4 linked regions of the Callithrix jacchus genome follow. The protein of the gene in region 3 interacts with the protein of the main gene of each other region in a biochemical or structural test. Links are inferred from orthologs where the notes say so. Each region holds a gene or a part of one and is shown on either strand. Other genes may lie near its edges.

Evidence for each region.
Region 1: the proteins of H1-5 (region 3) and HPF1 form a complex in vitro, tested with the Homo sapiens proteins (2 studies listed by BioGRID). The link is inferred for Callithrix jacchus from reciprocal best matches to the Homo sapiens genes H1-5 and HPF1.
Region 2: of the proteins of H1-5 (region 3) and PRKCA, one has a biochemical effect on the other in vitro, tested with the Homo sapiens proteins (2 studies listed by BioGRID). The link is inferred for Callithrix jacchus from reciprocal best matches to the Homo sapiens genes H1-5 and PRKCA.
Region 4: of the proteins of H1-5 (region 3) and CCNB1, one has a biochemical effect on the other in vitro, tested with the Homo sapiens proteins (2 studies listed by BioGRID). The link is inferred for Callithrix jacchus from reciprocal best matches to the Homo sapiens genes H1-5 and CCNB1.

What each region holds. Positions count from the first base shown.
Region 1 is NC_133502.1:121,469,991-121,475,836, forward strand, and holds the start of HPF1 (histone PARylation factor 1), read left to right. Parts: upstream 1-1,879; 5' UTR 1,880-1,920; coding exon 1,921-1,968; intron 1,969-5,676; coding exon 5,677-5,836; intron 5,837-5,846. UniProt on the Homo sapiens protein: Cofactor for serine ADP-ribosylation that confers serine specificity on PARP1 and PARP2 and plays a key role in DNA damage response.
Region 2 is NC_133506.1:122,973,178-122,979,016, reverse strand, and holds the start of PRKCA (protein kinase C alpha type), read left to right. Parts: upstream 1-2,015; 5' UTR 2,016-2,288; coding exon 2,289-2,461; intron 2,462-5,545; coding exon 5,546-5,577; intron 5,578-5,839. UniProt on the Homo sapiens protein: Calcium-activated, phospholipid- and diacylglycerol (DAG)-dependent serine/threonine-protein kinase that is involved in positive and negative regulation of cell proliferation, apoptosis, differentiation, migration and adhesion, tumorigenesis, cardiac hypertrophy, angiogenesis, platelet function and inflammation, by directly phosphorylating targets such as RAF1, BCL2, CSPG4, TNNT2/CTNT, or activating signaling cascade involving MAPK1/3 (ERK1/2) and RAP1GAP.
Region 3 is NC_133505.1:3,157,181-3,161,486, forward strand, and holds H1-5 (histone H1.5), read left to right. Parts: upstream 1-2,314; 5' UTR 2,315-2,373; coding exon 2,374-3,048; 3' UTR 3,049-3,196; downstream 3,197-4,306. Other genes in the region: histone H2A type 1, read right to left, coding at 3,999-4,306. UniProt on the Homo sapiens protein: Histone H1 protein binds to linker DNA between nucleosomes forming the macromolecular structure known as the chromatin fiber. Histones H1 are necessary for the condensation of nucleosome chains into higher-order structured fibers.
Region 4 is NC_133503.1:140,367,817-140,373,070, reverse strand, and holds the end of CCNB1 (G2/mitotic-specific cyclin-B1), read left to right. Parts: intron 1-2,024; coding exon 2,025-2,183; intron 2,184-2,384; coding exon 2,385-2,621; intron 2,622-2,898; coding exon 2,899-3,039; intron 3,040-3,305; exon of another isoform or gene 3,306-3,409; intron 3,410-4,086; coding exon 4,087-4,197; intron 4,198-4,363; coding exon 4,364-4,465; coding exon of another isoform or gene 4,466-4,471; exon of another isoform or gene 4,472-4,538; intron 4,539-4,878; coding exon 4,879-4,884; 3' UTR 4,885-5,014; downstream 5,015-5,254. UniProt on the Homo sapiens protein: Essential for the control of the cell cycle at the G2/M (mitosis) transition.

The sequences.
Region 1 (5,846 bases), on a different chromosome or scaffold from region 3:
AAGACTCCCAGCCTCCTTCCCGCATTGGGCACCCCACGAAGGCTGTATATTCTCAAAGCAAGTAATTAGAATATTACTCTCTAGAACAAAATAAACAGCTGGTCCTTGCCCCCTCATCTTACACGTTGTCCAGCAGTGAACAAGCCTTGCCTATTTCCCCAAAGCACCTTTTTAGAGTATCACTTTTACATATAAATTGACGGCAAAAAACACCACACAAGATGAAGAATGTCTCTAGCAGAAATAACAGAGACCAAAACATAACCAACCAACCAAAAAAGACTCGAAAGAATCAAGGTCAATGCAGAGTTTTGTAGAAAGCATTTTAAAAACCCAATAATTTACATCTTCAGAGATAAAAGCAGCTATATTCATGAAAAAATAATGTAATGCTATAAAAGAACAGAAAATAAAAAGGGCACTTAGTAATGACAGTATGATAAAAGAAAAAATAATCTGATAGTCATTTGTCCAATTAAGTTGGAAAAGTCACAGAGAAAATAGAACAAAAAGATAAAGAGATAGAAAGTAGGACAGACAGGTAAGAAAAACTATCAGCCAAGAAGATCCACAATCTAAATAACAAATTTCAAAAAATAAAAGATACAATGGTGGGGGGGGAGAAATGATCAAATCTCCCAGGAGAATTCCCACAACTGAAGAATATGTGTTTCAGGACTGAAAAACTGATCAATAGGAATGAGAAAAGACCCATAACCAAAACACTCGATTATATCTTAGAACACTGGGAATAAAAAGAAGATCCTAAAGCTTCTTGTGACAAAACAGAAACGAAAGTGAGTTACATATCGAGAAATTTAGTGACCTGTGTGGCAGAAAGAAATACCATAATGTAGAGTTTCTCAACAATTCTGAAAGCTAAGATATTGTGGAACAAGCCCTCCAATATTCCGAGTGAAAGTTATTTTCAACCTAGAATTCTGTGCTCAGCCAGAATAAAAACAGTTCTAGACATGCACACTCTGCGGGAAAAAAGACCTGCAGCAAACTCCCTCAAGGAACTACTGGAGGATATGTTCCACAACATGAGGGTATATAATCAAGAAAAAGGAAGACACAGATTCAGGAAATAGAGAACTCATCTCAGGAATAAGGAATAAAACCTTTCTAGGATAGATGTGAAGGAGACCCAAGGACATCAGTTGAGAGCTGTGCCTTCCAAATTTTGATGTGCATAGGAATTACCAGGGGATCTTGTTGCAACGCAGATACTGATTCAGTAAGTCTGGGTAGGCCCTGAGATTTGGCGTTTTTAACGAATTCCCTCACGATGCTGAGGTTGCTGGTTCAGAGACTACATTTTGCATATCAGAGGTGTAGAGAAAAAACAGTCCAAATCCTAACAAGAAGACTACGGTACAGAGAGACACACACACAGACATTTATCTCCTTCTCGGAGATAATCAGAAATGAATTAGTGAAAACCAATAACTGTACAGTTGGGGAGGGAGAGGGATGGAGGAAAAGGAGAAAAGGATTAATATTTTAAGTAAATACAAATGAAGAAAAAACAAGGAAGGCGCTGTATTTACGGCAGCCGCATACATCCAACCCTGTCTCTACTAGACACCTGAAGAGGAAGGTTGGACCACACGAACGGATTCAGATTTAGTAGCCTGGGGGTCTCTGGAGCGACCCTGGAATATACTTCAGAAAGCCTAGATGCGGACCACGCTGACGGACGACGCACCTTCACCACGCCCTGCCCGGGAGCGGGCGGGGCCTCAATGCGCCAAGCGCCGGGTCTCAGGGGGCGGGGCATGGGCGGAACCTTTCCTTAAAATTGGCGCGCCCGGGCGGTGCTGGGATTCGGATTGGAGGCTTTTGAACCCGGAAGCAGTTGGTGGCGCCCGGAAGCAGTCGCGGATCCGGGCATTCTGGTGGCGCTGCAACTGCAGAATGGTACGCGGTGGCGGGAAGCGCAGGCCCGGCGGGGAGGGGCCGCAGGTACTGGCAGAAAGGGTGTGCGGGCTACGCGGGGCGCTTTGGGTGACAGCCAGGGCACCAGGAGGCAGCGCATTTCATTTTGCCAGTGCCTATTAAGCTTGCTGTGTGTCCGGGGGTTTCGGTTTGTTGCGGGGGCCCTGCCCAGGGTCGCTGTTTTTGTGCTCTGTAGGGTTTGGACCAGGAAAGTAGCCCCTCTGCGTCTTCGGCCCTGCTCCTCTTGGCGCATTTCCTGGGGAAACGTATTAAGCCAACCAACGGTTCATTCACTCACCCTGCCAGATTGATTGGGAACCCATTACATACCAGACATTGTGTGGGGCGCTGCGGATTCGGGGTCAACCCGTCTGCCCCTCCTGCTTTTAGAGCCCCCGGCCTAGCGGGGAGAGGCACAAGCTAAAATGCATTCTACTGTGACTTTTTAGTTTGGGATTATAATACTTGTGTGTAGAAAGTGCTGTGGAGACACTGAAGGAGGATTTAATAAGTCCCAGGGGGTGTTAAGACTTGTAAGAGAAATCTTTGAAAATGAGTTTTGAAGGCAGAGAAGTAAGATTCTGAGACGTAAAAGTGTAGGAGATGTTTGGGCATAGCGGAGCGTTCGGCTTGGCTGCAGCCAAGGAAATGGGAAAGTAAGAGGAGCTAATCATAAAAGCGCTACTGAGAGAGGAGGGGAAGAAAGTGTGTGCGTTCTCTCATACTTTACGACGATTTCGAAAGTTCCGTAACCACTACAGTAGCAATAAGGGGAATCAGGCAGGAAAGAAGTGCCATTGTGATAACTAAAGTTTTTAGAAAAATTACTCTGGCAGTGTTATAAATCGGACAGGTGAGACATTCTAAGAGGGCTTGATTAACTTGATTAAAGGGCCATGGGTATAGGCATTCTTCATATTGGGTCATGCATTCTAGGAGTACCAGGTAAAGGAAAAGTGTAGCCTCTGAAGGGGACAGCTGTCCTAAATTCTAGTTGTTAGGGTTATGGAGATGCTAAACTAGTGTGTGAGTGAAGGCACAGCTGAAAACATTCTCTTCGAAGATGCAGTGAAGAACTGCTTTGGTGGAGTGCTGCGCTTAACGAGAAATACAATACCAGAAATGATGAGTCTATAGAGACTATAGCCATAATGGCCAGCATTTGCGTATTATGTGCTAGGACTGTTCTGTGTATTTTTACATATAATAACTTATTACTTGTAACAACCCTTTGCCCTTTTTGCAGATAAGAAAACAAGGCACAGAAAGGTTGAGTAACTTGCTTAAGGTTGGAAATCAGTACAGTCAGAGTCAACCTAAACGTTATGCAAATTTGCGTTTCATAAAGGCAGATTAAGCCTTTTCTAACATCTTAAGTTGGAGCCAGTCTGAAATTCTGACCAAAGACATTTACAAAAGCAGAAGATAGGATAGCTCAGGGCTTAATATGTTCCTACTGTTCCATATTTGCAGTTGGAGAAGAAACATAATGAAGTGATGAAGAATCTGCTGTGGAGCCGGATTTAAACCTGAGTTTAAATCCTTTCTCTTCCACTTCCTAGTTAGGGACATAGGGAAGTTAGCCTCAGTTTCCTTAGCTGCAAGATGAGGTTAATAGTATCTAGTGCATGAGTTAGTTGAGGATTAAATGAGTTAATCCACAGAAAGTGCTTAGAACAGTGAAACAGCACAAAATAAGTTTTCAGTAATTATTTACTACTTGTTTTTACTATTATCTTTACTGTTACTATTTGCTATTATTGATACTCACTTTTGATACTCATTTTTCAACAGCCTTTTTGTTCAACGTAATTCTTTTTTAAATCAGATGCATTATAATCCTTAGCATAATAAACTGTTACCATTGTTCAAATCATGATCGTTTTTTACCTTATTTGTGTTAAGTAATGTAACAAACACCTGTGAACCCATTGCCCAACCCCAAAACTGAAACAGACAATGGCTCTACATCAACACGTGTTCCTCCCCTATCCTTTAAGCCTTCTTCTTGTCACTCATGTTCAGTGTAGCTATCCTGAGTTTTATTTTCCCTTGCCTTTTTAGAATAGGCTTATCCCCTATGAATGTATACTTAAACAATGTTTATTTTTAGTTTTCGAACTTCATAAAAAGGCTATCATTCTGGATATAATCAAGAACTTTTTTCCTCATTAAAAATATTTAATACAGATTGGTCCATATTGTGTAGTTATACAGTAACCATTCAGCAAATGAAAGAATGGTTCCAGGACTCCCACACATCCCAAAATCCAAGCATACCCAAGTTCCAAAGTTGGTCCTGTGGAACCCGAGTATACAAAAAGTTGACCCTCTCTATAAGTGGATTTTGCATCCCAAGAATACTGTATTTTTTTAATTTGCATTTGGTTGGGGAAAAAAAGTCGTGTATAAGTGGGTCCACAAAATTCAAACCCTTGTTGCTGAAGGGTCAACTGTAATATTAGGTGTAATAGTCTTGCTTGGAAGCCTTATAACTATTCTCCTACCAGTAGGTATTTCATTTGTTCTGTTTGCTCTTGGAATCATCGCCATCATGACCATTTTTGTGTCACCTGATTCATTAATACATTTTGTAGATGTTGAATGATATCTAACATAACATTAATAAACTTCAGCCTACTGGGAAAATTGAAGAATATAAATATGAGAAATGTCTAGCTGAGAATTTCTCAACTTTAGCACTGTTGACATTTGAGCTAGTAGTCTTTGTTGAGGTTGCCTATCCTGGGCATTGTAAGATGTTGAGCATCCCTGGCCTCTGTTCCACCAGATGCCACTAGTACCCTTCTTCCAATTCATTACAACTACATAGGGCTCCAAATGTCCCCTGTGGGGCAAAATCACCACCAGTTGAGAACCACTGCTCTAAATAGAATAAAAGGAAAGAACTTAATTTAAAAAGAATGAAACTGGGTTCCTAGAAAGAAAAACAGATTGCTTCTTAGAAAACTAAATGTATGTAACCTCCAGTTGTGTATATTATCTTTACAGAAATTTATCAAATGTCTAATAGGCAAAATAAAACCTAGCATACTGAACCTATATTGCAGTGGTGCTAGAGATGAGTATTGTAACCTAATCCTGGCATTAAAAGGTCTTTTCTGAAATAATTGGATTTTTGGCCTAGAGTTTAGTGCTATTCTGCTTTGTTAGGAACTGTGGATGTTTAACATTGTTAAAGAGAATGTTTAACCTTCCCTCTTTATTTGGAAAATCAAAAGGGAGGTGTCTGTTTTTATGGCTGGTTAATGATTGTAGTGAATAGCTCAGACACAGCTCTGGATGTTTCTGAAGAAATAGCTTTTTAAATGATGCATTGCTTATATCCAGTTACTTCTGTTTTCTGGTGTGATCAATGAATCTGCTTAAAAGACTCACATGTTTAACCAAAAGAGGGCAAAACCTGCCCTTTCTTTATTCTTCTCTTCCTGCTAGTACCTTTTTTACCTTTTTTTTTTTTGTGGTTTCCATTATCTTAGAAAAATATATTTAAAGACTTGCTGTGTGGATTCCTCTTAACCATGTAAACTATTCTTTTTTCTGTGCCCAAAGGAATTCCCAGATTTTACTCAAATACTATTTAGAGAGTTTTAAGGAAAACATATACTATCTCACAGAGTTGGGTGAACAAGAGTGAGTGATGTTATGCAAGGAGAGTTACTGAAATTACTAAAGATAATTTGGAGAAATAAAGTTTTGTGTGCCAATTTTCAGTGTGAAAACACAGTTGATGTGAAGAAAAGTAAATTTTGTGAAGCTGATGTCTCCAGTGACCTTCGAAAAGAAGTAGAAAATCATTATAAGCTCTCTTTACCTGAAGATTTCTATCACTTCTGGAAGTTCTGTGAAGAACTTGATCCTGAAAAGCCAGCTGGTGAGTTGCT
Region 2 (5,839 bases), on a different chromosome or scaffold from region 3:
AAGAAAAGAGACACATTGTTCCATCTGATCTACTGACAGCTAAGACAGACACTCCTTGGAATATACAAGAAATTCTCAGGCTGCTGCCAGGGCTCATTTTTTTCTTGTCTACCCTGTGACTTTGCTCAGGGATTCCACTCTCAGCAGTTCCATCCTCTAGCTCTCTCCATCCTCACATCAAAGCCTCAGGGATATAGAAAGAAGCTTGTCTTCGTAAAATGTGCCAGGACCTCTGTCTTAGATAAAAGACGACTATGAGAAAAGAAATTATTTCATTATACTACTATGTTCCATCTGATTTCTGCTTTTGAGAAATAAACAACCATGGCTTGAGATGCTTTTAGTGTTTCATGGAGAATTGGGACTATTTCCCCGACATGCCCTGCTCCTCAGTTCCTCATTGCTTCTTCCCTTTTTGCCTCGTTGGACTCGAGGGGCGACCGTGAATGGTGAAATTTCTGACCAGGTAGAATACCAGGCAGGTGCAGGCTCCTGAAGCACCAGTAAGACTGACTCAAAAGATTGTAAATGGGTCAGCCAAGAGCATGCGCCACTGATGGCCAGTCAGGAGCGCTTCCATTTGCTAAAATATAAAAGGCATTCCTATCATTAAGCATCACAATTAGACAATCTCAAAGAAAAAAATGTTAGCTCTATTTGGCCTACGTGGTATGCTCTAAGGAAGTATTTTAGAAAAGTTTTTTTTTTTTTTCTTTTAACAAAAATTTATTGACGGATCAAACGTGTTCTCTTTCTTGGTGTCTTTAGCTCGTAAAGTCGTTTTGTGAACTTCCTGAATCTGGCAATGAAATGAAATGGATGAGAAATGCTGAGAGATGATTTTCCTCAAGTATTTCAGCGGCCTCCAGACAGACCTGATAAATATTCAGAGAGTGATTAGCTGGTGCATCCCCACCTGCGTCCTTTGCATAGCCAGGCCCGCTACCATTTCACAGGCAGTTTTACTTGGTAATTTACAAATGTACTGGCTGCATTCTGCACCTGACAGTAGCGCAATAATTAGCTTGGGATGCAAAATGATTTCTAAATTAAGGTCCTGGACTTGTAAAATCAAGAAAGCCTGATAATCAACATCGTTGCTCTGGTGGCCAATGAATAACGGGATAAATGCCTAGGACAAGTCCCTTAACCATCCCACGTGGTGATACATGTCCGACATACAAATTAAAAATCTCTACTACACGCAGGTGAAATACCGTATAGGTCAAGAAGAGAAGACAGGGGAAAGGGTCAGTGCTTAATTATTTAAAATCGCTCTTTTTCTCCTGCAGAAAGGTCTAGAGGCTGGGTCTTTTAGGGCAAACGCTATGAGAGGGACATTTTGGCCAGGGGAGACCTCCAGCTGCTACAGGCTGCTCAAGCAGGGGCGTCGTGCCCTGGAGACACCGGGGGTCCTGAGGATGCGGTAGGGGCTCCCTGCTGCGTGTGCTCACGGGGAAAGGGGTGAGCGCTGGGCGGGAGGCCCGGGGCAGGTGCTGCGCGTGGAGCCCACTCCGGGACGCCGGCTCCTCTCGGCCGGGCACCGGCAGCGCAGAACTCCAAGCCCAGAGCCAAGACAGAGAGAGAGCGGGAGTGGGAGGAGGAAGGCGGGGAGAGGAGGAGGCCGGGCGGCAGGAGCGGAAGAAGAGGAGGCGAGCAGAGGCGGAGGAGGGCAAGAGGGAGGAGAGCCGGGCGCAGGAAGGGGAGGACGAGGAGGAAAGAGAAAGGCGGCGGAGGAGCGCGGACCCGCCACTCCCGGCCTCCTCCCCCGCATCCCCACCTCGGGCCATCCCTCCCCGGGCCGCCGCCGCTTCCTCTGCCCAGTCTTCCCAGCGCCGCGAGGCGCTTGCAGCCTCCTCCCCACTCGACCCGGCCCGCGCGGCGCACTCCCCCCTCGCGCGCCCCCGCCACTCTCGCCCGCGCGGCCTCGCACTCGGGGCATGCGCGGTGGGCGGTGCCGCTCCGGGCCGCCTCTACCGCCGCGAGTAGGAAGCGCGAGCGCCGGGCGCCGGGCTGTCAGTGAGCGTGGGGCCAGCGAGCGAGCCAGCGGCTCCGGCTCCGGCTCTGGCTCCGGCTCCTGCTCCGGCTCCCACTCCCTCTCCGCGCCGCACCGGCCCGACTCTCCCCGGTCCCCGCCGCGCCCCCTCGCCGCCGCGACCTCGGCCCCCGGCCCGCGCCCCCCACCCAGGGTCGCCCCGGGCCCGCGCCCCTCCCCCGCCGCCCCCGCCCCCCCCCGGCCCTCCCCGGCCGCTGCTCCCCGGCGGAGGCAAGAGGTGGTTGGGGGGACCATGGCTGACGTTTTCCCGGCCAACGACTCCACGGCGTCTCAGGACGTGGCCAACCGCTTCGCCCGCAAAGGGGCGCTGAGGCAGAAGAACGTGCACGAGGTGAAGGACCACAAATTCATCGCGCGCTTCTTCAAGCAGCCCACCTTCTGCAGCCACTGCACCGACTTCATCTGGTAGGTGCCCGGCCGGGCGCCCCTGCCCGCTGCTCCCCGCCTCCGGGTCCCGGCCCCGGGCGCTCGGGCGCGTCTGCTCCGGGGCTGGCTCACTCCGAGAACTTGGAGCCGGCGAGAGTCCGAACTCTCGCCCGGAGTGACACGCGCGCCTGGCCCTGACACCCGCGGGCAGGACTCCTGGGACGTCGCCACCCCGCCACACACCCCCTGGCGCGGGACGGAGGCTGGCCCCCTGCGCTGGCGGCGGGGATCGCTCCCCGGGCCGCGTCCCTCACCACCTCCCCATGCTCGCCCACTCGCACGCACCCAGCAGAGCGGCCGCTTGCAGGGATGGGAGCCCAGGAGACAGGGGAGGGGGACAGGCCAAAAGGGGCAGAGGTTCCTGGAGAAACGCGCCCGGGAGTAATGGGGGAGCGGCAGCGATCGCGCCGCGTGCGGTCCAAGTTGCTGGCGAGCCAGGCTGGGCGCGTTCGGGGGAGGGGGTGTGTTTGTGCTTCCAATAGGGCTGGACTGCGCTGGAATCTTGGGCCCCTGCCTACTGTAGGCTGCATCTACTGGGCACGGAGAGACTTTGACTTTTCTAAGTGAGCAGAGAGAGAACAAACTGTTGAAAGCTTGCAGTGGGGGAGGGGAAGTTCTAGCAGGCAAATGGCAGAAGGGCAGAGGAACTCATTTAAAATACACCCTGTTGTCCAGGCGCGGTGGCTCACGCCTGTAATCCCATCACGTTGGGAGGCAGAAGTGGGCGGATCATCTGAGGTCAGTAGTTCGAGACCAGGTTGGCTAGCATGACGAAACCCCATCTTTACTAAAAATACAAAATTATCTGGGCGTGGTGGCACACGCCTGTAATCTCAGCTACTCCGGAGGCTGAGGCGGGAGAATTGCTTGAACCCGGGAATCGGAGGCTGCAGTGAGCTGAGATCGGGCCACTGTACTCCAGCCTGGGTGAGACAGAGCAAGACTCTGTCTCAAAAAAATAAAACAGACCCTGTCAACACGAGATTAGACCTGTAGCCCTGTGGACGAGGACAGAGCTCTTAAGAAATATAATGTCAGGGCCAGAGGTGTCAGAGATCGAGTAACTTCCAATGAATGCAGGCATTCTTAACTCGAGTGGGCCATGCTGAGGGCTTATGGAGAACCCATAGGTAGAAGGGCTTTAGGGGTTTCTGAACCCTGTGGAACTGGGTGAAATTGTGTTTGTGAATCTTTTTCTTTCCTGGTGAGAGAATTACAGCTTTTATCTGATTTCTCAAAAGGTCTGTGACCATTCTTCCCAGATCCCCATCTCCCCACAAAAGTTTAGAAAGCTAGAACTAAAGGAGCTCTAGGTCCTGTAGATAAGACATACCAGTAGTTTGGTTTTTCTCTTAGGTTGCCCGATGTCCTGACTCTTCTACCTCTTCTTTGTGATGTAGGAAAAGTTACCGACAAGACAGAGCTATGGCAAGGGCTTCTAAGCTCCCTCCCCTTCTAGGCTGTAGGGAGCTGCACAGGGTGACAGCCACGGAGTGAATCTTGCCACCAGCCAGCTGTGTGGCACAGGTATCTTGGGCCACTAGGGTGAACATAGTGTGGATGGCTCTGTCTGAATCCATCAAATCTGGGGAAAAACATCCCAAAGGGCAAGTCCCATGATCGTGGTGCTAATATGGTGTTTAATTTTTCCTTTTCTTTTTAGACATCTGCTCCAAAGTACACTTTTCATAAAAGCACAACCACCTCTATGAGTGATTTCCACTGTCTAGTCAGCATATGAAGCGATTGTGCTGAAAGGAGTAGGTAATCGTAGATAAGGCTATTTAAAATAAAAATTTCAGAGCATCAAGGCAAAGAGAATCTTGCATTTGATTAAGAGGAGGTGGTCAGCTGTGAGAGTCCATTAAAAGGGAACAGACTGCTGGTGACTTTTGCAGGAAGTGGGAGAGTTGGACACGGGACTTGCAGCGTACCTAGGCTAGCTAATGTCTTTCAGCTATTAGTTTTCCTTGAAGGATCAGCCCCTGGTGAGCTGAATAGGTGCTCAGGTCACAGCAGTATTGTGAAGTGGAAAAGAAAGGCCTCCCTGAGTATCCCTGCAGCACTCTTCATTTCTTTGTAAACCAGTTGGAAGTCCCAGGAAAACATCCTCGGGGATTGTCTTTTTCAGTTTGCTTTCATTATTGCTTCTATGGGGTCCTTGACTTTCAAGTTCATTTCAATATTGAATCACTGATAGTTTTAAGCTAAATGTTTAGAGTTAGCTGTGGTTTTTGGTGGGGAGATGACTAAGTTAATTTTAAAAGTATGTGAAGTACTTTGTACACTTAAAATTCTATTCGAAGCAAGAGATTATGACTTTCAACCTTCTGAGGAAATTTTGATGCAGTTCATTCTAATGGAACACTAGTTGGCAATTGCATGTCCATGTCGGGGTTCTCTGCTTACAGAGTAAATTCTCTAAAGTAATTTACAAGAACAAAACAGTCTCTGCATGTGCTTTGAATGCTGTTAGTTTTCAGTAGAAATTAGATCATGGTAATCTCAAATTCAAACAGTAGGGTGATATTTTCTAAGATCTGGTTCCTTAAGCCAAAATTAAATGTTAAAAGCGATGCCGTTTGGCAATTTCTGGATGTGTAGTATTTTAAACAAATGCATAATAAGTAAGCCACTTGGTTGTCTTTAGAGAGAAAAAAGCAATTTTCATTTGATCTTCAGGAACAAAATTAAGCTATTTCCTTTTTAAATTTTAACCATAAACTCTTTTGTTACTTGAACATTGTATTGTAGCCAACAACTCTGAATATTCAGTCATGTTCTTGTCTTGAAGTTTTAGTATCAATAACTTAGTATAAAAAATTGGAAAGAAGCTTGATACATTGAAATTGTTCAGTGATCCTTTACAGGCAAGATAGTTTTCCCCCCAAGGTTGAATTTACACAGTAATCTGACTAGATATTTAGGTATTTTTTCCTATTAAATAATTACGTTTCACATACAGACCTTTAGCAGTGGAATACTTGGTCACATAACTTGTTTAAAACATGCTATCCAACACAAAATATGTTAAGATATTTTGTTCTCGTTTTTGTTTTTCAGGGGGTTTGGGAAACAAGGCTTCCAGTGCCAAGGTAAGCTGCCCCTTATGATTTTATTTTCAAGCACAACTTGAAATAAGCATTCCAAACAAGAACAGTATTTCCAGTCTTCTTTTCTTTCCAATTAAAAAAAAAATGTTATTTAGATAATATTTTTGAAATATGAGGGGGCTGTAAATTTGGGCCTTAAAAAAATAATTTGGGCCTACTAATCTGCATATAGAGCTGCTTTTTCTCATTGGGGGAAAAAAAGCCTTCCTGTAATTTTATTTTTTGCTGAGAACATTCTTGTCAG
Region 3 (4,306 bases):
ACAACAAAAAAACAAACCACTTCTGACCCATGGGGCCAGAAACTTTTTCAACAATTTACTTAGAAGTCTTTTAGTGGCTGTCTGCTACGTGTAGGAATAGCTTGACACGGCCTCTTCCAAGCTTTGAAGATGGTTCTCTCCTCACCTATTCAAGGATTTTCCCTCCAGAATGGAGCTGAGGCCATTTCGTAGGTTTAAAACTCAGACCTGCCACTTCGTACCTGTATAACCTTCTGCAAGTTATTCGCTATCTCTGGGCCTCATCTTGTGTAGCTGTAAATGTGGCAAGTTAACAAAAACCTGTAGAACATATTTAAGGTGACTTTCTGGCACGTAATACATGCTGAATGAGTATCAGCTCTTACTGTTACACCCCTGCTACCATTACCCATGGAGTTTTGGGATTCTTTTCTCTTGCATCTTGTAAGTTTTTTGTACGGAACAGTGGAAAGTGCTTGGTTGGAGTATTTTCTTGTGAAGATATCCTCTTCCTTAGTTCTCAATTTGCGTTGTTTGGTAAGAGGCCTATAGCAATATCTGTGTCCCTGTGGAGAAATTTATAACACAGCAAAACGACTAGATAATAAATAGTTTAGAGGCCATATCTAGTTTCTGTCACACATTCTTTTAAGTTTTTAGTTAGTTTTTTTGTTTTTTGAGACAGGATCTTGCTTCATCTCCCAGGCTTGAGTGCAATGGTGCGATCACTGCTCACTGCAGCCTTCATACCTTGAATTCAAGTGATCCTCCCACCTCCACCTGCCCGGCAGCTAAGACTACAGGGATGCGCCACCACACCCGGCAACGGTTTTTGTATTTTTACTAGAGATGGGGTTTCACGATGTTGCCCAGGCTGGTCTGGAACTCCTGAGCTCAAGCAACCCACCTATCCAGGTCTCCCCAAGTGCTGGGATTACAGGCATCAACCACCATGTGTGACCTTTTTAAAGACACTTCTTAGCTTGAGGGCCATACGGGAAGAAGCCGTTGCCCAGATTTGGCCATCAGGAGCTGGTAGAGAGAAGGCGGACTGTGTTGGCTTCTTTAAATTTTCTGGCACAGCATTTCCAGGGTAAGAAATAAGCGGCTGTTTATTTCATTAGAGATCCAAATCATTATCTGATTTTTTTTTTTAATCATTCAGGCATCCTGTCCATTCCCTTCCACCTCCCATAAATAGCAAACTTCACGTTCATTTCCACCTCACTGTATTTGCCTCTGTTGTTTTCCAGAACCTCTATAATCTGAAGTCTCTCAATATCCAATACAACCTTTTGACAGTCAATAGCCAGATAGTCTTCTAAAATATTAGTCTGTCTGCACTTAAACACACAAACATTCCCATACTGATGTATCCTAGCTGCTTTTAGAAGAGAGTACTCCTGATGATGCAGCTTGTTAAATGTTGATGGAGATTCAGGGGGCGCAGCGAAAACATTTTGAAAACCTGACAGAGACCCGGGTCACCAGTTTGTGCATCTGGGGGTCACTGGGAGCTCTTGAATAATTTTCCACAGATTTGAATTTTTTCTAAACTGAATTATCTATACTATTTTTCTTTCCCATTTTCATGGATTTTCCCAGGAACTAAACAGTGAAAACACTTTAATCAGAAAACATATCACATGTAAGTTTGAATTTGAATCAGTGCATTGGATTGTTAAAGCGGTATGTGTTACCCGTGCTACAACGCAGTCACTCTGACAGTGGAACTCTTCCAAGCTGCACAATCCCATTCTGTAAAGACATCAGCACATGGAAACTCCTGAGACAGAATCAGTTTGTAAAGTCAAGTCTTATGTGGTTGAGTTGGGGCTGTAGGCAACCAGCTGCCCTGTGCCTGTGTTACTTGCTACAGTTAGAAACAAAGTTCATGCCCAAACCAAGAAACACACTGTCTTTTCTCTCGCAAAAATCAAAGCCTGAACTCACGGGCAAAGTTTTAAAAGTAAGTTTCTCCGGATTCTTAGCAGAAATTTATCATGACACCCAACTAACCAACATGATGCCCTCGGTGCAATGGAGTCTTAGAGAAAGCTGAAGGGATTTTTTAAAAATATCTTTCACCAATTGCACGAGATTCGTGAAAACACAAACAAGTATGTGAACCTGGAGGCTGTTTTCCTCCTTTGGAGCTTCAAAGTGCCAAATTCTGTATCGTTATTTCAAGCATTTAATCAAATTTAGAGAACTAACAAACACAATTTGGGAGTCCAACCGCGAGCTGCGGCGGCCGGAGGGCGGTGGATTGGACGCTCCACCAATCACAGGGCAGCTCCGGCTTATATAAGCCCTGGGCCACGAGCATAGTAGCAATGCAAAACTTGCTCTTTGGATTTCGAGCTTAGTCTCTTCTAGCAGTTTCTTGTAGCCATGTCGGAAACCGCTCCCGCCGAGACGGCCACCCCAGCGCCGGTGGAGAAGTCCCCCGCTAAGAAGAAGACCACCAAGAAAGCGGCCGGCGCGGCCAAGCGCAAAGCGACCGGGCCCCCAGTCTCAGAGCTCATCACCAAGGCCGTGGCCGCTTCTAAGGAGCGCAATGGCCTTTCTTTGGCCGCTCTTAAAAAGGCCTTAGCGGCGGGTGGCTACGACGTGGAGAAGAACAACAGCCGCATCAAACTTGGTCTCAAGAGCCTGGTGAGCAAGGGCACCCTGGTGCAGACCAAGGGCACCGGTGCTTCCGGCTCCTTCAAGCTCAACAAGAAGGCGGCCTCCGGGGAAGCCAAGCCCAAGGCTAAAAAGGCGGGTGCCGCCAAAGCTAAGAAGCCCGCGGGGGCCACCCCTAAGAAGCCCAAGAAGGCTGCGGGAGCGAAAAAGGCAGTGAAGAAGACTCCGAAGAAGGCGAAGAAGCCCGCGGCGGCTGGAGTCAAAAAAGTGGCGAAGAGCCCCAAGAAAGCCAAGGCCGCCGCCAAGCCGAAAAAGGCAACGAAGAGTCCTGCCAAGCCCAAGGCTGTTAAGCCGAAGGCAGCAAAGCCCAAAGCCGCTAAGCCGAAAGCAGCAAAACCTAAAGCTGCAAAGGCCAAGAAGGCGGCTGCCAAAAAGAAGTAGGAAGCTGGCATGTGAAAACCGCAACCAAGCCCCAAAGGCTCTTTTCAGAGCCACTTACAGATCTCTAAAAAATTGCTGTACACCAAGTGACTTTGCCTTCTCACCCCGCCTTATGCTGAGGTGTGTGGCTAATAAACACGAGCAGAGATTCCTGGCGTTCGAATTATCTGGGGCAGTTTTTCTCCCCTTAGCTTAATTAATGGGGTCATGGTAGGCAAGCAGGAGCCCGGGGTGATGTCTGGACCTTCATGCAATTTCCCAAAGCAGTCAGTCATCAAAGCATGGCTTCCAGCTAGTGCTTCTGTCTGCAGAGTTCGTATCATGCTTTCTAGCCTGGCTACAGAAGTTTAAGCTTAAAAAGCCCGCTCTATAGTCTGATTGGTCAGTTTTTATTCCATCTGTTTTCCCCGCGTTTAAGCCGTTTAGGCGTCAGCCGCTTCGGCATTAAAAAATGTGTTCCCCACGCACACCGCTAATGGAGGAGGTTGGTGGAAGTAGCAAGTTTCAAGCTACATGCCGATTTGGGTATTTTAAAAATTAAAACATGTCACCCAGGCTGGCGCGTAGTGCCGTGGTTTCGACTCACTGCAGCCTCAACCTCCCGGGCTCAAGCGAACCCTCCCACTTCAGCCCTAGGACTACAGGCGTGCACCACTACGGCGGCGAATCTTTGTCGAGACGGGGTTCCGCTAGGCTTCCCAGGCCGATCTCGAATTCGAGTTCAGTGATTCTCCTGCCTCTACTTCCAGAAGTGTAGGGATTGCAGGCGAGTCACTGCGCCTCGCCCTGGACTTTATTGTTGGCTCGCGTACATGTAACATTGGATGAATAAACAGAGAATATAAAACGACTTATTCACATTTGACTTAAACCAGTGGCCCAGCACTTCCGCAGAAATAGTAGGTGGCTCTGAAAAGAGCCGTTGTACTGGAAAGTGATTCATGGACACATTATTTGCCCTTAGCCTTGTGGTGGCTCTCGGTCTTCTTGGGCAGCAGCACGGCCTGGATGTTGGGCAGGACGCCGCCCTGCGCGATGGTGACCTTGCCCAGCAGCTTGTTGAGCTCCTCGTCGTTGCGGATGGCCAGCTGCAGGTGGCGCGGGATGATGCGGGTCTTCTTGTTGTCGCGGGCCGCGTTGCCCGCCAGCTCCAGGATCTCGGCCGTCAGGTACTCCAGCACCGCCGCCAGGTAGACCGGCGCTCCGGCCCCGACCCGCTCGGCGTAGTTGCCCTTGCGGAGCAGGCGGTGCACGCGGC
Region 4 (5,254 bases), on a different chromosome or scaffold from region 3:
AGCCTCCCAAAGTGCTGGGATTACAGGCATGAGCCACCATACCCAGCCCGCAGTTGTTTTTATGCATTGTCTTATGTCATCATTGACATATTCATCTCTTTCCTGCTCCTTTTGAGCCTCTCCATTTTTTGTAGGTTCTTTGTTTGAGACAGAGCTTCACTATTCCTCCCCAGGCTGGAGTGCAGTGGTGTGATCTCTGCTCACTGCAACCTCTGCCACCTGGGTTCAAGCAATTCTCCTGTGTCAGCCTCCCAAGTAGCTGGGATTACTGGCATGCACCACCACACCCCTCTAATTTTGTATTTTTAGTAGAAATGGGATTTCTCCATGTTGGTCAGGGTGGTCTCAAACTCCCGACCTCAGGTGATCCAACCACCTTGGCCTCCCAAAGTGCTGGGATTACAGGCATGAGCCACTGCTCCCAGCCCTCCTTTTGGGCCTCTTCTTTTTCTATAGGATTCTTCTGCAAGAAGAGTTCTTTCAGGAGCAGCCTTCTACTTTGGGTTTCTTCTCACGTCTTGTACTTTTTAAAGTTGTGTTCTAACTTTGGAGGATTAAATTTAGTAAATGTGCTGTTTCTCGATGCTTCATTCTTGTTCTGTGAAAGGCCATATATGCAGAGCAACTCCCCCCAAATGTCAAAGGAGCCTAGAAACCAAGGAATAAGGCAGATAAATGGAGTTTGTTGGTATTGGGTGACTGATTAGGAGAAATTTACAGACAGAAGTATGGTCTCGTGTGGCTGAAAGATGTAGATCTCTGCACTGTAACTCCTCATACCCAGGGCTTGGGTATGTATACGTTTTCTTGGGGAAAGTATACATGCTCTAGAAGGAATGTGTGAGTGGCTATGGGAATGCTGCTGACATCACAGCCTATAATGTATATGATAGTATCAAGGGCTGTTTTGGAGGAAAGGCCAAACTTAGTGAACAGGCAGAAGTCACATGGAATTAGCATTTAAAATAAAGTCACTCTTGTCCCCACAGTTCTTAGCTATGTTGCTGTTGGGGTTTAGCCCTGGAGCAGGCAGAAATATTGTAGTACATGGGTTCCAGCTTCTCTGGGAGGTACTGATATTTTCTCTACATAAAGCTCAGGCTCTAGGTTTAAAGGCCTAAGTGAAAAGATCTGAGATGACAGTATAGTATCTTTATTTGGAAGGAAGTGGGCCAGCAGCAGCTGTGGTGAATTGAATATTGTAAGACCTGACAATATAAAAAAGCTGTCACACTGTCCTATCTAATGTCTTTTTTTGTTTGTTTGTTTTTTGTGGTTTTGGAGGCAGTCTTGCTCTGTCACCCAGGCTGGAGTACAGTGGTGCAATCTCAGCTCCCTGTAGCTTCCACCTCCTGGGTTCAAGCGATTCTCATGCCTCAGCCTCCTGAGTAGCTGGGACTACAGGCGCGAGCAACCATGCCCAGCTAATTTTTGTATTTTTAGAAGAGATAGGGTTTTGCCATGTTGGCCAGGCTGGTCTCAAACTTCTGGCCTCAAGCAATCTGCCCACTTCAGCCTCCCAAAGTGCTGAGATTACAGGTATAAGCCACCATGCTGGCCTTAATGTTTGCTTTCTTTCTTGGTGATGGTGTTTGTGGTGACTCTATGAATAACTGAATTAAGAACTTACATAGGCTGGGCGCGTTGGCTCACACCTGTAATCTCAGCACTTTGGGAGGCTGAGGCAGGTGGATCACCTGAGGCCAGGAGTTTGAAACCAGCCTAGCCAACATGGTAGAACCCTGTCTCTACTAAAACTCCAAAAAAAAAGCATTAGCCAGGCATGGTGGCACATGCACTCAGGAGGCTGAGGCAGGAGAATTGCTTGAACCTGGGAGGTGAAAGTTGCAGTGAGCCAAGATCGCACCATTGCACTCCAGCCTGAGCAACAAGAGTAAAACTTCATCTTAAAAAAAAAAAAAACTGATATTCTAAATGCCCCAGTGCTACTGTAGGAAGTAACTGATCTTTAATATATTACATGGAATCATGTTTCTAAGAATAATCAGCATTTTCTTTTACAGGAAGAGCAAGCAGTCAGACCGAAATACCTACTGGGTCGGGAAGTCACTGGAAACATGAGAGCCATCCTAATTGACTGGCTAGTACAGGTCCAGATGAAATTCAGGTTGTTGCAGGAGACCATGTACATGACTGTCTCCATTATTGATCGGTTCATGCAGGTGAGCATTTCAGTAAAAGTTTTCCCTGTTGGGATTCTAGCTGTCATAAGAAAATGACTTTCAGCTAAGATCTTTCTTGGAGGATTTGATGTTATTAAGATTTTGCTATGGAAGAATGACTGTCTGTCTACCTCTTCTCCATCATAGCTCTGTGTCTCCTTTTCACGTATTTTATTCATCCTGTTAAAATTCCCATTGCAGAATAATTGTGTGCCCAAGAAGATGCTGCAACTGGTTGGTGTCACTGCCATGTTTATTGCCAGCAAATATGAAGAAATGTACCCTCCAGAAATTGGTGACTTTGCTTTTGTGACTGACAACACTTACACTAAGCACCAGATCAGACAGATGGAAATGAAGATTCTAAGAGCTTTAAACTTTGGTCTGGGTCGGCCTCTACCTTTGCACTTCCTTCGGAGAGCATCTAAGATTGGAGAGGTAAAGGTTTCTTGAGAAACCTTTTGGTATGGGTACATTAGGGAACACTGCTGCTGACCAAGCAAGTCGAATTCAATTAAGTTGTATTATACCTAACTACATGGGGAAGGGATAAAGATGTTCTTTATTTCTAGTTGGGCTGCATGTTAATATTAGGGATTTCCATGGGCACTTGCATTTGAGTTTGTAGACAAACATTTGTAGTTAAAGATACATATGGGTATCCTTTCCAAAGGAAACTTTTCTGAAAGAAGCTCAGTGATGGGTTTTGTTTCAGGCTGATGTTGACCAACATACTTTGGCCAAATACCTGATGGAACTAACTATGTTGGACTATGATATGGTGCACTTTCCTCCTTCTCAAATTGCAGCAGGAGCTTTTTGCTTAGCACTGAAAATTCTGGATGATGGTGAATGGGTAAGCTCTGTCCCACAAAACTCCTAAACTTTTAAATTGTAAAGAGTATTTGACTGAATACAGGACTTTTGTTACTAAAATCCACTTCAAGTGGTTCATAAATATGGGATCTACTGAAGGAGTAGTTTAAAAAGATGTCTTAGAATGTTTCTACTTCTTTTTGTTTTTAAGACAAGGTCTTGTTCTGTCACACAGGCTGGAGTGCAGTGGTGCGATGCTGGCCCACTGCAACCTCACCCTCCCCTAGCTAGTTTTAATTTTTTTCATGTCAGATGGGTAATATGCCCACATTGTAACAAGGTTTGAGGGTAGCATATTTTACACGTTCACGTGAACACCCAATCATCACACTTATGAACTACAAAAGTGTCGCCCACCAGCCTGGGCAACATAGCAAATCCTCATCTTTACAAAAAATATTTAAAAACATATATATATATATACACACAGGCACATGCCTATAGTCCCAGCTACCCTGGAGGCTGAGCTTTGTAATTTTTGTAGAGACAAGGTCTCCTATCTTACCTAGGCTGGTCTTGGGCTGGGCTCAAGTGATCTGCCCACCTCCACCTCCCAAAGTGGTGGAATTATAGGCATGAGCCATTGCAACCAGCCAAGTGTTTCCATTTCTTTGCCTAATTTCAACTTTATTCCCTTTGATAAAGGTACAATAACTTCTTACAGATGGAGAAACTTGAAGCTCAAATAACATACTAGTAGTTCATATTCATTCATTCATTCAACAAATGCTTCTCCTATCTTAGGAATGGAACTATGACAAAGTTGGCCTCAAGGAAGTGGAGTCTAGTTTTAGCAGGGGGCAAGTCAGCAATTACAATAATGAAATTAGGTGTGAGCACAGGTTCCTATGGAAGCATGAGAGCACCTATTAAAGAGTCTTAGGCTTTGTCTTAAATTTCAATTATATTAATAATTAGTTATGCAGTACTCATCCCTTCCCCACTCCTGCATAACATCTAACATCTAGAAATTTTATGAAAATCATTACTGATTGAGCATTTTTAACATTAACTTTTGTTGTCTTAGACACCAACTCTACAGCATTACCTGTCATACACTGAAGAATCCCTTCTTCCAGTTATGCAGCACCTGGCTAAGAATATAGTCATGGTAAATCAAGGGCTTACAAAGCACATGGTGAGTCAATCTAGTGGCAGTGTAAGATGTTGAAAAGTGAAAAGAATGCAAACATCATGCCTGCAAATGCCTGGTTTATTTTGAATGAGTCAGTATTTTAAATGAATACCTGTATCATTGGATCTTGTGACTTTTTTTCCCCCTCTTTAATGCTTTTGTCTTCCAGACTATCAAGAACAAGTATGCTACGTCGAAACATGCTAAGATCAGCACTCTAGCACAGCTGAATTCTGCACTAGTTCAAGATTTAGCCAAGGCTGTGGCAAAGGTGTAACTTGTAAACTTGAGTTGGAGTACTATATTTACAAATAAAATTGGCACCATGTGCCATCTGTACATACTACTATTGCATTTACTTACTTTTAATAAAGCTTGTAGCCCCTTTTACTTTTTTATAGCCTAGCTCATTTGAATGTGGTTACTTCCTACTGTAGGGTAATGGAAAAGTTGTTTTAAAAGGTATGGTGGGGAATATTTTTAAAAACTGCTTTTGGTTTATCTGGGGACCCAATATGTTTATATACTTGGTTCTTGTTTTATGTACCTGGCTTTTACTTTATTAATATGAGTTACAGAAGGTGATGGAGGTATTTGAAAACTTTACTTCCATAGGACATACTGCATGTAAGCCAAGTCCCTGCCACCATGCCCAGCTAATGTTTTTTCTGTATTTTTTTGTAGAGATGAGGTTTCACCATGTTGGCCTGGCTGGTCTTGAGCTCCTGACCTCATGATCCGCCCGCTTCCCAAAGTGCTGGGATTACAGGTGTGAGCCCGGCAGCTCTGTTTTTAAAGTAAAAGTCTACCACCTCATCCCTAGTCCCCTGTTTTCTGTTTTTTCTGGTGATTGCTCCCATCATTCTAAGCTAATTACTTTTACCACTATTTAAGTTATCAACCTTAGCTAGTGTCTTTTCAAACTTTCACTTTGAAAAATGAGAACTTATATTCTAAGCCCAGTTTTCATTTTGTTTTTGTGTTTTGATTAAGAAAATAAAACAATACTCAAATACAAAAGGTATCTTTTTTAAAAAGTTAATTTGACCCTTATCCTCTT